Macaca fascicularis: one gene and its partner. The protein of the gene in region 1 interacts with the protein of each later gene in a biochemical or structural test. Links are inferred from orthologs where the notes say so. Each region holds a gene or a part of one and is shown in the gene's direction. Other genes may lie near its edges.

Region 1 (5,143 bases):
AAGCGATTCTCCCGCCTCAGCCTCCCGAATAGCTGGGATTACAGGTGCCCGCCACCACGCCTGGCTAATTTTTGTATTTTTAGTAAAGACAGGTTTTTACCATGTTGGCCAGGTTGGTCTTGAACTCCTGACCTCAGGTGATCTACCCTCCTCAGCCTCCCAAAGTGTTGGGATTACAGATGTGAGCCACTGCGCCCGGCCAGAACCACCTTCTTTAAAGATGATCAAGCCGGATACAGTGGCTCCTGCCAGTAATTCCAGCGCTATGGGAGGCTGAAGCAGGAGGATCACTTGAGCCCAATTCAAGACCAGCCTGGGCAACACAGGGAGACCTCTTCTCTACATAAAATAAAACAATAAGCCAGGCGTGCTGGCGCCTGTGGTCCCAGCTACTTGGGAGGCTGAGGCGGGAGGATCGCTGGAGTCCGAGAGGTGGAGGCTGCAGTGAGCTGGGATCACGCCACTGCAGTGCAGCCTAAGCAGCGGAGTAAGACCTTGTCTGGAAAATAAATACATAATAAAGGCAGTCAGAGAAGAGGTTTAGCAAATTGCTAAAGAACAAATCTGACGTACCGTCAGTTTCCTTGCAATCTTCATCTGCCAAAATGTCAATTTTGTGAACTGGGGACTAGTCAAAAACTTAAAGTAAACCCACTTTTGTGGAGGTGGGGTCGCTTTGCGTTTCCCAGGCTAGTCTGGAACTCGGCCTGCGCCCCTCAGTACCGGGGCTCCGGGCGGCGCTCGGGTGTCTTGGCCGCAGAATGGACGCGGGAGCAGCTGGGTCCGCGATGAGAGCTGGGTCCGCAGCTCTGCAGGCCTTGCGGGCTGGGGTCCCACGAAACAAAGGCGCAGCCAATGGCCGGGACGGGCAGCGTGGATCACCGGGCCGTGGCTCCCTCGAGGGTCGCGATCTCGGCGCAAAGGAGCCCCTCTACCAAGGTCGCCTAGAGGCGCGACCCCGACATGCGGAGCCGCCCCAGGGGGGCTTCTCCCGGGTCCCTCCTGTCCCGAGGCCGCCGCTTTCTCCGGGGGCCGCGCTCCGCGCCCCAGCCAGGCCCGACCTGCGCCTGCGACTCCGCCTCCACGGCGCTGCCGCTCCGGGTCTGGCCGCCTCCTCCGAGGATTCTGAGGAATCGCCGAGAAGTGTCTGCCAGTGCGAGGCCACAGCACGGGCCCGCCAGGCCCCGCCCCCAGCACCAAGCCCCGCCTACTAGGGAGACCCCCGTCCCCACGAGACCCTCTCGCCCCCGCATCGAGCCTCGCCCCACGAGCCCCGCCCCTGCGCCGACTGTACTTCGCCGAGCCCCGCCCCCGAGCCGAGCCATGCCCTCTAGGCCCCGCCCCCGCACCGAGACTGCGCCCATCAGGCCCCGCCCCTGCGCCGAGCCCCGCCCAGTAGTCCCCGCCCCCGCACCTGACCGCGCCCACCAGCCGGCTCCAACACGCCCGCGCCGCTGACTCTGGCGGCTGGAGGTGTCGACACATTCAACCCGTTCTGCTGGCTCGAGAAGGAAGTCGGCCGTCTCGCTCTGGGTCTCCAGGCCTGCGACCGTCCGCCAGTCGTCCCGAGGTCAGTAGCTCCAGCGGTGCGTCAGCCTGTAGCCAGGCCTCGCCCACGCCGGCCTCGGTCGGGCTTTCGGAAGACGCGCGCCTAGCGCTACTGAGGCCCCTGCTGCGCGGGCGAGTGGCGCGCTCCCGCGGCGGGGCGGGGTCGGGCGGGGCAGGGGTCTGGGGCCGGCAAGGTTGCGCTGGGCAGATGCGCCGCCCGGCGGATGTGGCGCTCCCTGAAGACGTCATCGCGCCGCGAGCTCCCCTTTGGGGCGCGCCGGAAGTCCCTGCGCGGGGCGGGGGGCGGTGCTGCGCCTACTTGGGTCGTTCTCGCGTGGCCGTCGTGCCCCCTAGTGCCTTAGATTCCAGCGAGCTGCGCAAGCAATCTTGGTCCAGCCGAGCTTTCTTCCCCAAATCACGTAACCCTTGACCTTATTCCCCCAAAGAACCGGCCTCCCGGGAAGGACCGCTCTGGCGGAGAAGACTCGAACGGCTCCCACCGCCGGGCGTTGGGGGAAAGGTGGGCGGTCTCGGTCGTGCGAGGTCGGGGAGGGAGGGTCCTTCGCCCTCCATTGCGGAGCCTCGCTCTGGGACCACCGGGAGACCGGACGCCGGGCCGCGAAGCTACCGCCTGGGGCTGCGGGGAGGAGAGCGACAGAACTGGAACGGCTCTTAGGGGCCGGCGTCAGGGCTGTAACCAGGGTTGGCGGAAATGATGAAGGGGCCCCAGGCACATCGTGTTATTGGGCGAGGTTCCAGCCAAGGTGCCCACGCGCCTTGGGGGAAACCAGAGGATTTCTGCACCGTTTCCCGAGGACAGTTGGGTAGTGTTTCAGAACGGCCTTAGAACCAGGCAAGGCCCCTTTCTAGGATGGTGGAAAGCCTAAAGATATGAAAACAGTCTCAAGTGTCGTCTTAGCGATTGGTCGAGTAAACCGAATACGAGCGGGAGACTGCACACGATATTGCCGTTAAGAGTTACATTGGGGCCGGGCGTAGTGGCTCACCCCTGTAATCCCAGGATTTTGGGAGTGCGAGGCGGGCGGATCACCTGAGGTCAGGAGTTCAGGAACAGCCTGGCCAACGTGGTGAAACCCCGTCTCTACTAAAAATACAAAATTAGCCGGGCGTGGTGGCAGGCGCCTGTAATCCCAGCTACTTGGGAGGTTGAGGTAGGAGAATCGCTTGAACTCAGGAGGCGGAGGTTGCAGTGAGCCGAGATGATGCCACTGCACTCCAGCCTGGGTGACAAGAGTGAAACTCCGTCTCAGGAAAAAAAAAAAAAGGTTACATTTGGCTGGATGCGCTGGTGCAGCCTGTAATCCCAGCACTTAGGGAGGCCAAGGCGGGCGGATCTCTTGAGCCCGGGAGTTTGCGACCAGCCTGGCCAACATAGTGAGACCCCCGTCTCTACAAAAAAATGGAAAAAATTAGCCAGTTGTGGTAGTGAACGCCTGTAGTCCCAGCTACTTGGGACGCTGAGGCAGGAGGATGGCTTGAGCCCTGGAGGAGGAGGCTGCAGTGAGCTATTGTCTCATCCCTGCTATAACGAATTTGCCATAGATAGGTTGTTTTACAGGCCTGAAGCTCAGAAGCCCAAAGTGAGTTTTAGGAGGTTAAAATCAAGGTGTTGGCAAGGGTAGTTGCTTCTGGAGGTTCCCAAGGAAAATCTGCTTTTCCAACTTCTAGAGGCCATCTTCTTCCATCTTCAAAACCTGCTGTCTCTGCATAAGAACCCTCACGATAATATGCCGGCCGCCCAGATACCCCAGGATAGCCTTCACATCTCAATATTCCTAATATTTGCAAAGTCCCTTTTGCCACGTAAGGTAACACCACAGGTTTGAAGATTCGGATGTTGACATCTTTCAGGGCCATTCTTATTTTTAAAAAGGTACTGTTGATAATAATAGTTAAAATGTAAAATATTTGAAGGGATTAATTCGGAACCAAAAATGAGTGACTGCGGCCGGTGGAGATCCTGGGAACATGTGTCCAAGGTGGTTGGGGCAGCTTGATTTTATACGTTTTAGAGAGATATGAGGCATCAATGAAATACATTTAAGATATACATTGGTGGGCCGGGCGCGGTGGCTCAAGCCTGTAATCCCAGCACTTTGGGAGGCCGAGACGGGTGGATCACAAGGTCAGGAGATCGAGACCATCTTGGCTAACACGGTGAAACCCCGTCTCTACTAAAAAATACAAAAAACTAGCTGGGCAAGGTGGCAGGCGCCTGTAGTCCCAGCTACTCGGGAGGCTGAGGCAGGAGAATGGCGTAAACCCGGGAGGCAGAGCTTGCAGTGAGCTGAGATCCGGCCACTGCACTCCAGCCTGGGCGACAGAGCGAGACTCCATCTCAAAAAAAAAAAAAAAAAAAAAAAAGATATACATTGGTTTTGGCCAGATCTCAGCTCACTGCAAGTTCCGCCTCCTGGGTTCATGCCATTCTCCTGCCTCAGCCTCCCGAGTAGCTGGGACTACAAGCGGCCGCCACCTCGCCCGGCTAGTTTTTTTTTTGGTATTTTTTAGTAGAGACAAGGTTTCACCGTGTTAGCCAGGATGGTCTCTATCTCCTGACCTCGTGATCCACCCGTCTCGGCCTCCCAAAGTGCTGGGATTACAGGCTTGAGCCACCGCGCCCGGCCAGAACTCTTGACTGATAGAAACGGAGGGTGTGTCCAAAGTTTTCAGGAGGGCCCAGCGGCTCTCCAAAACCTCTCCTCACAGCCTCGCCCATTTCGCGTCAGCCGCAACAAATCATCGTCAATCTGTTCCATGATCTCCAGTCTGGTAGCAAAAAGGAGTATCTCAGGTTTGCTTTATTTTAGTGTTTGGGGAATTCTTGGAATCCGGCCTGTTTGTGGGAGGAGGCAGGGGCTGCCAGAGCTGGAGGGATGGTCTGGGGGAAGGCGGGTGCAGGCGCCGGTTCCGGGAGATTAAGTGGAAAGGCTGGTTGGGGGCAGACGGTGGGAAACGGGATGCGGACGTCAGGCTTCACCCCCAACCGAGGGGGGAGTGGGGAAGCTGGGGTAGTAACTGGAACGAGGCCCGGGGACTGAGCTGGGCACGCTGGAGGCTCCGCCCGCCCCCGCCTGGGCGGAAGGAGCGCGAAGCGGCTCGGGCCTTGGGTCTGCGGCGGCGGCGCCGGGTGAGCGGGCGCGGGCGGGGGCAGAGAAGCAGGGGAGACCCACTCCGTGTTTTTCTGAGGTTCCCTCCCAGCCCTTTAGTATGCGGCAGGGTGTCCAGAACTAGCGGGTTCGAGGGACTCGACGCGGGCGGGGGTCCCAGGGACCAGGAACGTTTGCACGTCGCCTGAGCGTGGCCCGTGTCTCCCTAGGGGGTGGCCCTGCGCCCCTCGGAGGTCGCCGTGTCCACGTCCCCATCACGTCGGAACCGAAGGACCTGAATTGGCCTCCGAACGGCCCCTCCCGTGTGGCTCCCCGGGGCGGGGGGGCTCAGGTCTTGGGCGCTGCGGAGACCTCCCGCCCTAAGGTTGGGAAGGTCTGGTTTCCGGATAAGGGACCGTTAGGGCCGCTGTTCAGACCTCTGCCTTGACCAAAGCAGGCTGCTGGCTGGTGGTGGCGGGTTCCTG
Region 2 (4,694 bases), on another chromosome or scaffold:
CTCCTTGTTTCAGTTGGTGCCTTGTGCCCCCAACTAAACTTACACAAAATTTGTCTTTGTAACTGAAGGTCACTGGACCTTTGCTATTGAAACTAGCAAAGCCTCTATTATGCTTAATGAGAACCATGAAACTTCAGATTTTTAGAGCTAACAACTCTCTTATTTTCTTGATGGACAGGCCTGGAGAGAAAAATGAAGTCAATTATTTAAAAACTATTAAGGGGTATAATAAGGCAAGCATGTTGATTCAAGGTGAATAATATGAATTCTGTAGAATATACACCAGTAAGAAACACTCACAAGTAAATAGTCCATTGTTCATCCAGGATCACATGGGTAATGGCATGCTTGGAAATGGCAACTGTGAAACCTGACAACAGGTCGATCTTCATTTTGTGATATCATTATGGGTAGATCCTGAGCTTTGTGGCTTTTACTTTGGCACTTATACCTGGTAAGGTGTCCTTGGTCTTAATATCTAATGCAGAGAGGGTTTGGACAGAGATTCTAAACAGGCTCATCAGCTCATACTCGCTTCTGTGAACAGCAATATCCCCACCAGTTACACAGCATTGGCACCTCTTCCAAGTCCGGTCTCTTTCCTAGAGGAGACATTAGTAACATTCCTATCCACCACTGCCACCTAATGACTCTTTTAGGTACTAGCAGCTCTGGTTCCGCTCCCTGATTTTTTGAATTCTGGGATTCTGGCACCAGGCAGAGGGATGTTGACTATGTAAGAGACTTTTGACATTAGAAGTCAGTATTTGTTCATTACAGAGCAAGAGACTTAATTGATTACAAATCAATAAAACTTTGATAAGATCTTCCAAAAAACTAGAAACAGGAAACACACGCAGGAGACTGAAAAGCATGATGTAAATGTAAAGAACTTGGGAAGTGGGTGGCTTGGCAGCCCAGCAGCTATATTGGAGCAACTGCATGAGTGAATACTTGTTACTCCTTTAGGGCTGGCTCTCCATTCTGCAATCATGTACCTCTTTCTTGATAAACTCCCAAGAACACACTTTCAGCATGGAATTGCAGACTTTTAGAGATAGCAACTCGTCTCAAGTATAGACAAATGTCAGTGCAGACAAATTTGATACACTGCTGAAGAATACCAAATTATATGGTAAGGAATTTTTCATTCCACAATAATGAAGTAAATAGCAGCTGGAAATGTTTGCATTAAGTTCATAGGTTATAATTTGTAATGGAATCAACACCAAATGCAAATTAGAAAGAGAGCTCACTTTGCTCACCCCACATTTCTTCCCATGTAACCATAGAACACTGGAGTCCTGTGTCTTTCTAGATCCACAGTCTTGCTCTCAGAACAGGCTAGCCACAGCACAGGCCTAGTGCTAGGACCCATGGCCTTTTTAAGCTCAGACTCCCTTCTGTGGACAGCAACATCCCCCACAACTTGTACAACCTTGGTGCTTCCGGCAAAGGCTACAGAACTATTTGATATGAAGATGTTCATTGACTTACACACAAGAGAAGCACCAAATAAAAAATTAATAATTAATTTAGTGTCTATGAAAGTGTACCATTTATTTTTACGTTTAGGGGTCATAAGAATTGTATTACATAAGAATGTAATACAATTTGAAGATCAGATTTTTCTCCCTTTGTGAGAATTTCTCAGTATGTGTGATGACTACCAAGAAATCATAGCCAGTCATAAATTCAATGAGTTACTCATAAATGAACAATTTGAAAAGCAAAATTCCAAAAATCAGGTAAAATTTTACAGTGAAAAGTTATTTTTGTTGTCAAATATAGGGGCATTCACATATATTAGATATAATGTGGGTTAGATCTGTAATGATTTTTAAAGGCTCTGAATGGTCTTTAAAATTTTCTCCAAAGAACTAAAGGTATAGTCAGAAACTACTTGTTGCACATACCAAATACTTTTCAATTCTCTAATCTTGAACTTTCATAAGAAATAGAATCTTAAAAGTTCATAAGAAATTTGCTTTCTATTTTGTTATAATTCATATTTGTTTAGTTCTATTGTCAATGATCAGTCATTGAGTTAAAATTAAGCTCCAGGAAGAAGCACCGTATTTACCTAAAGCATCTACCTAAAGGTGAGTGTCTGTGATGCACCATTCCTGGGATGTGTGCGTTCTAGAGTTTGAGAGGGACAGCTCTTGAGAGGTGATGGCAGGAATCCTCTTTTTCTCTTCTTTTGAGGAAGATGTTAAGAAATCATTAGAGCAAACTGTAAGGCCTTTGATTTGATAAAAAAAAAAAAGTCTAAGGCATTTTTTTACCACATGGTAGCACCTTTTGCCTGTTGTGTAACAGCATATGTACATATGCAGGAGAAACTAGAAAATATTATCTAGAATAATCTCAATTGCTTCCAATGTGAGAAGCTCCTAAGAATAAGCTCATATTCCTCTTTCTTCTCTGTAAGGGTTGATTCCAGACCCATCTTCCAAACATCGCGTGTCTTCTTCCATGCTCCTCCCTCTTCTTTCTAAATGGTACAGAACAAATTCACCTTTGGCCATGAACCACCTACTTCTTGGGGAAGTAGGTCTGCTTCCCCTCAACTCAGGATGCAACTGCTTTCAACTGCTTTCTTCACATTAGCTGAGTAATTAGCTAGAATTCTGTCATAAACAATTTTATGGTTGATCCTTCTCTGGGCTCTGGATTCCCTAAAACAGAGGTCCCCAAATCCCGGTCTGTGGCCTGTCCGCCTGAGCTCTGCCTCCTGTCAGATCAGCAGGCAGCATTAGATTCTCACAGGAGCCGGACCCCTCTATTGTGAACTGCACATGTGCGGGATCCAGATTGTGTCCTCTTTATGAGACCCTAAATTAAACTAATTCTTGATGATCTGAGCCAGAACGATTTCATCCTGAAACCATCCCCCACCCATCCATGGAAATACTGTCTTCCACAAAAATGGTCCCTGGTGCCAAAAGTGTTAGAGACCACTCCCCTAAAACTCTCTCTTCTTATCTCTCACCTCCTGTATTACTATCTCATCTCAGTACACTGAAGCCCCCATCCTTTCCCCATGGATGCCTCATTTCCTATTAGGGAGGCATTTGGTATGTCTTTTTTTTTGACAGAGTCTGCCTCTGTCGCCGCCCAGGCTGGAGTGCAGTGGCGCGATCTTGCTCACTGCAAGCTCCACCTCCCTGGTTCACGCCAGTCTCCTGCCTCAGCCTCCCAGGTAGCTGGGACCACAGGCGCCCGCCACCACGCCCGGCTAATTTTTTGTATTTTTAGTAGAGATGGGGTTTCACTGTGTTAGCCAGGATGGTCTCGATTTCCTGACCACGTGATCCGCCCGTCTCGGCCTCCCAAAGTGCTGGGATTACAGGCCTGAGGCACCGCGCCCGGCCGTCATTTGGTATGTCTGAATGTGCGTCAGGACCTAGTACAGTCCCTGGTACCCAGTAGGGACCTATGTAATGTTCGTTATTCAATTAATTAATAAGTGAATTAGTGAGAGTGGATTTTGTAATGTAACGACTGATAGAGAAATACTCAGTGATTCTAAGGGATAGGAAAGAATGGTTGGAGCTAGAGGTTGTGCTCAGGAAACTATTAAATAGACCTTTCAGAGGAATGGATTCAGAACAGGTGTAAGGTTAATGAGAAAGGGAGAATAGAATATATAATTTGGTGGCGGAAAAGATCTGATTCATGATGCCGTGTCAGAGAGAAAAGCTCCTGTCCTTTTTGCCTGATTTGGTGATGCTGTTCTTGCATCTACCATTCCTCCTTTTGCCCTTGGCAGGAGCCTGTGTTGGAAGAGATGGTGATGCGCCTGGGCCTTTTCTTGTTGGTCTTCATGCTGGGTCTGGGTCTGACCCTACCCACCCTGGCTCAGGATAACCCAAGGTACAGAGACTTCCTGGCCAAGCACTATGATGCCACACCACAGGGCCGGAATGACAGATACTGTGAAAGCACGATGAGGAGACGGCATCTGACCTCACCCTGCAAAGACATCAACACCTTTGTTCATGGCAACAGGCACCACATCACGGCCATCTGTGGAGATGAGAATGGAAGCCCTTATGGAGGAAACCTAAGAATAAGCACGTCTCCTTTCCAGGTCACCACTTGCAAACTACGTGGAGGATCCCCCCGGCCTCCATGCCAGTACCGAGCCACACGGGGGTCCAGAAACATTGTTGTTGGTTGTGAAAATGGCCTACCTGTCCACTTGGATGAGTCCATTTTCCGTCCGTAACCAGCGGGCCACTGGTCAAGTGTCAAGTGCTGGCTCTGCTGCCCTTGCCTTACATTTCCCCTCTGCACCCTAGAACAGTGTGGCAACATGCATTGCCAAGGGCCCAAAGAAAGAGCTACCTGGACCTTTTGTTTTCTGTCTGACAACATGTTTAATAAATAAAAATGTCACTGATATCAGTAAGAATCAGAGTCTTCTCACTGATTCTGGGCATATTGATCTTTCCCCCATTTTCTCTACTTGGTTGCTCCCTGAGAGGACTGCATAGGATATAAATGCCTTTTTCTTTTCTTTTCTTTTCTTTTCTTTCCTTTCCTTTTTTTTTTTTGAGACGGAGTCTCACTCTATTGCCAGGCTTGAGTGCAATGGCACAATCTTGGCTCACCACAACCTCTGCCTCCTGGGTTCAAGTGATTCTCCTGCCTCAGCCTCCCAAATAGCTGGGATTACAGGCATGTAC

What was found.
Region 2: the proteins of RNH1 (region 1) and ANG are reported together in a solved structure, tested with the Homo sapiens proteins (3 studies listed by BioGRID and IntAct, with this or other methods). The link is inferred for Macaca fascicularis from reciprocal best matches to the Homo sapiens genes RNH1 and ANG.

Annotation. Positions count from the first base shown.
Region 1 is NC_088388.1:403,299-408,441, reverse strand, and holds the start of RNH1 (ribonuclease inhibitor), read left to right. Parts: upstream 1-1,846; 5' UTR 1,847-2,068; intron 2,069-3,237; 5' UTR 3,238-3,296; coding exon 3,297-3,377; intron 3,378-4,278; coding exon 4,279-4,363; intron 4,364-4,658; exon of another isoform or gene 4,659-4,699; intron 4,700-4,888; exon of another isoform or gene 4,889-5,043; intron 5,044-5,143. UniProt on the Homo sapiens protein: Ribonuclease inhibitor which inhibits RNASE1, RNASE2 and angiogenin (ANG). May play a role in redox homeostasis. Required to inhibit the cytotoxic tRNA ribonuclease activity of ANG in the cytoplasm in absence of stress.
Region 2 is NC_088381.1:88,364,472-88,369,165, forward strand, and holds the end of ANG (angiogenin), read left to right. Parts: intron 1-3,775; 5' UTR 3,776-3,793; coding exon 3,794-4,234; 3' UTR 4,235-4,417; downstream 4,418-4,694. UniProt on the Homo sapiens protein: Secreted ribonuclease that can either promote or restrict cell proliferation of target cells, depending on the context. Endocytosed in target cells via its receptor PLXNB2 and translocates to the cytoplasm or nucleus.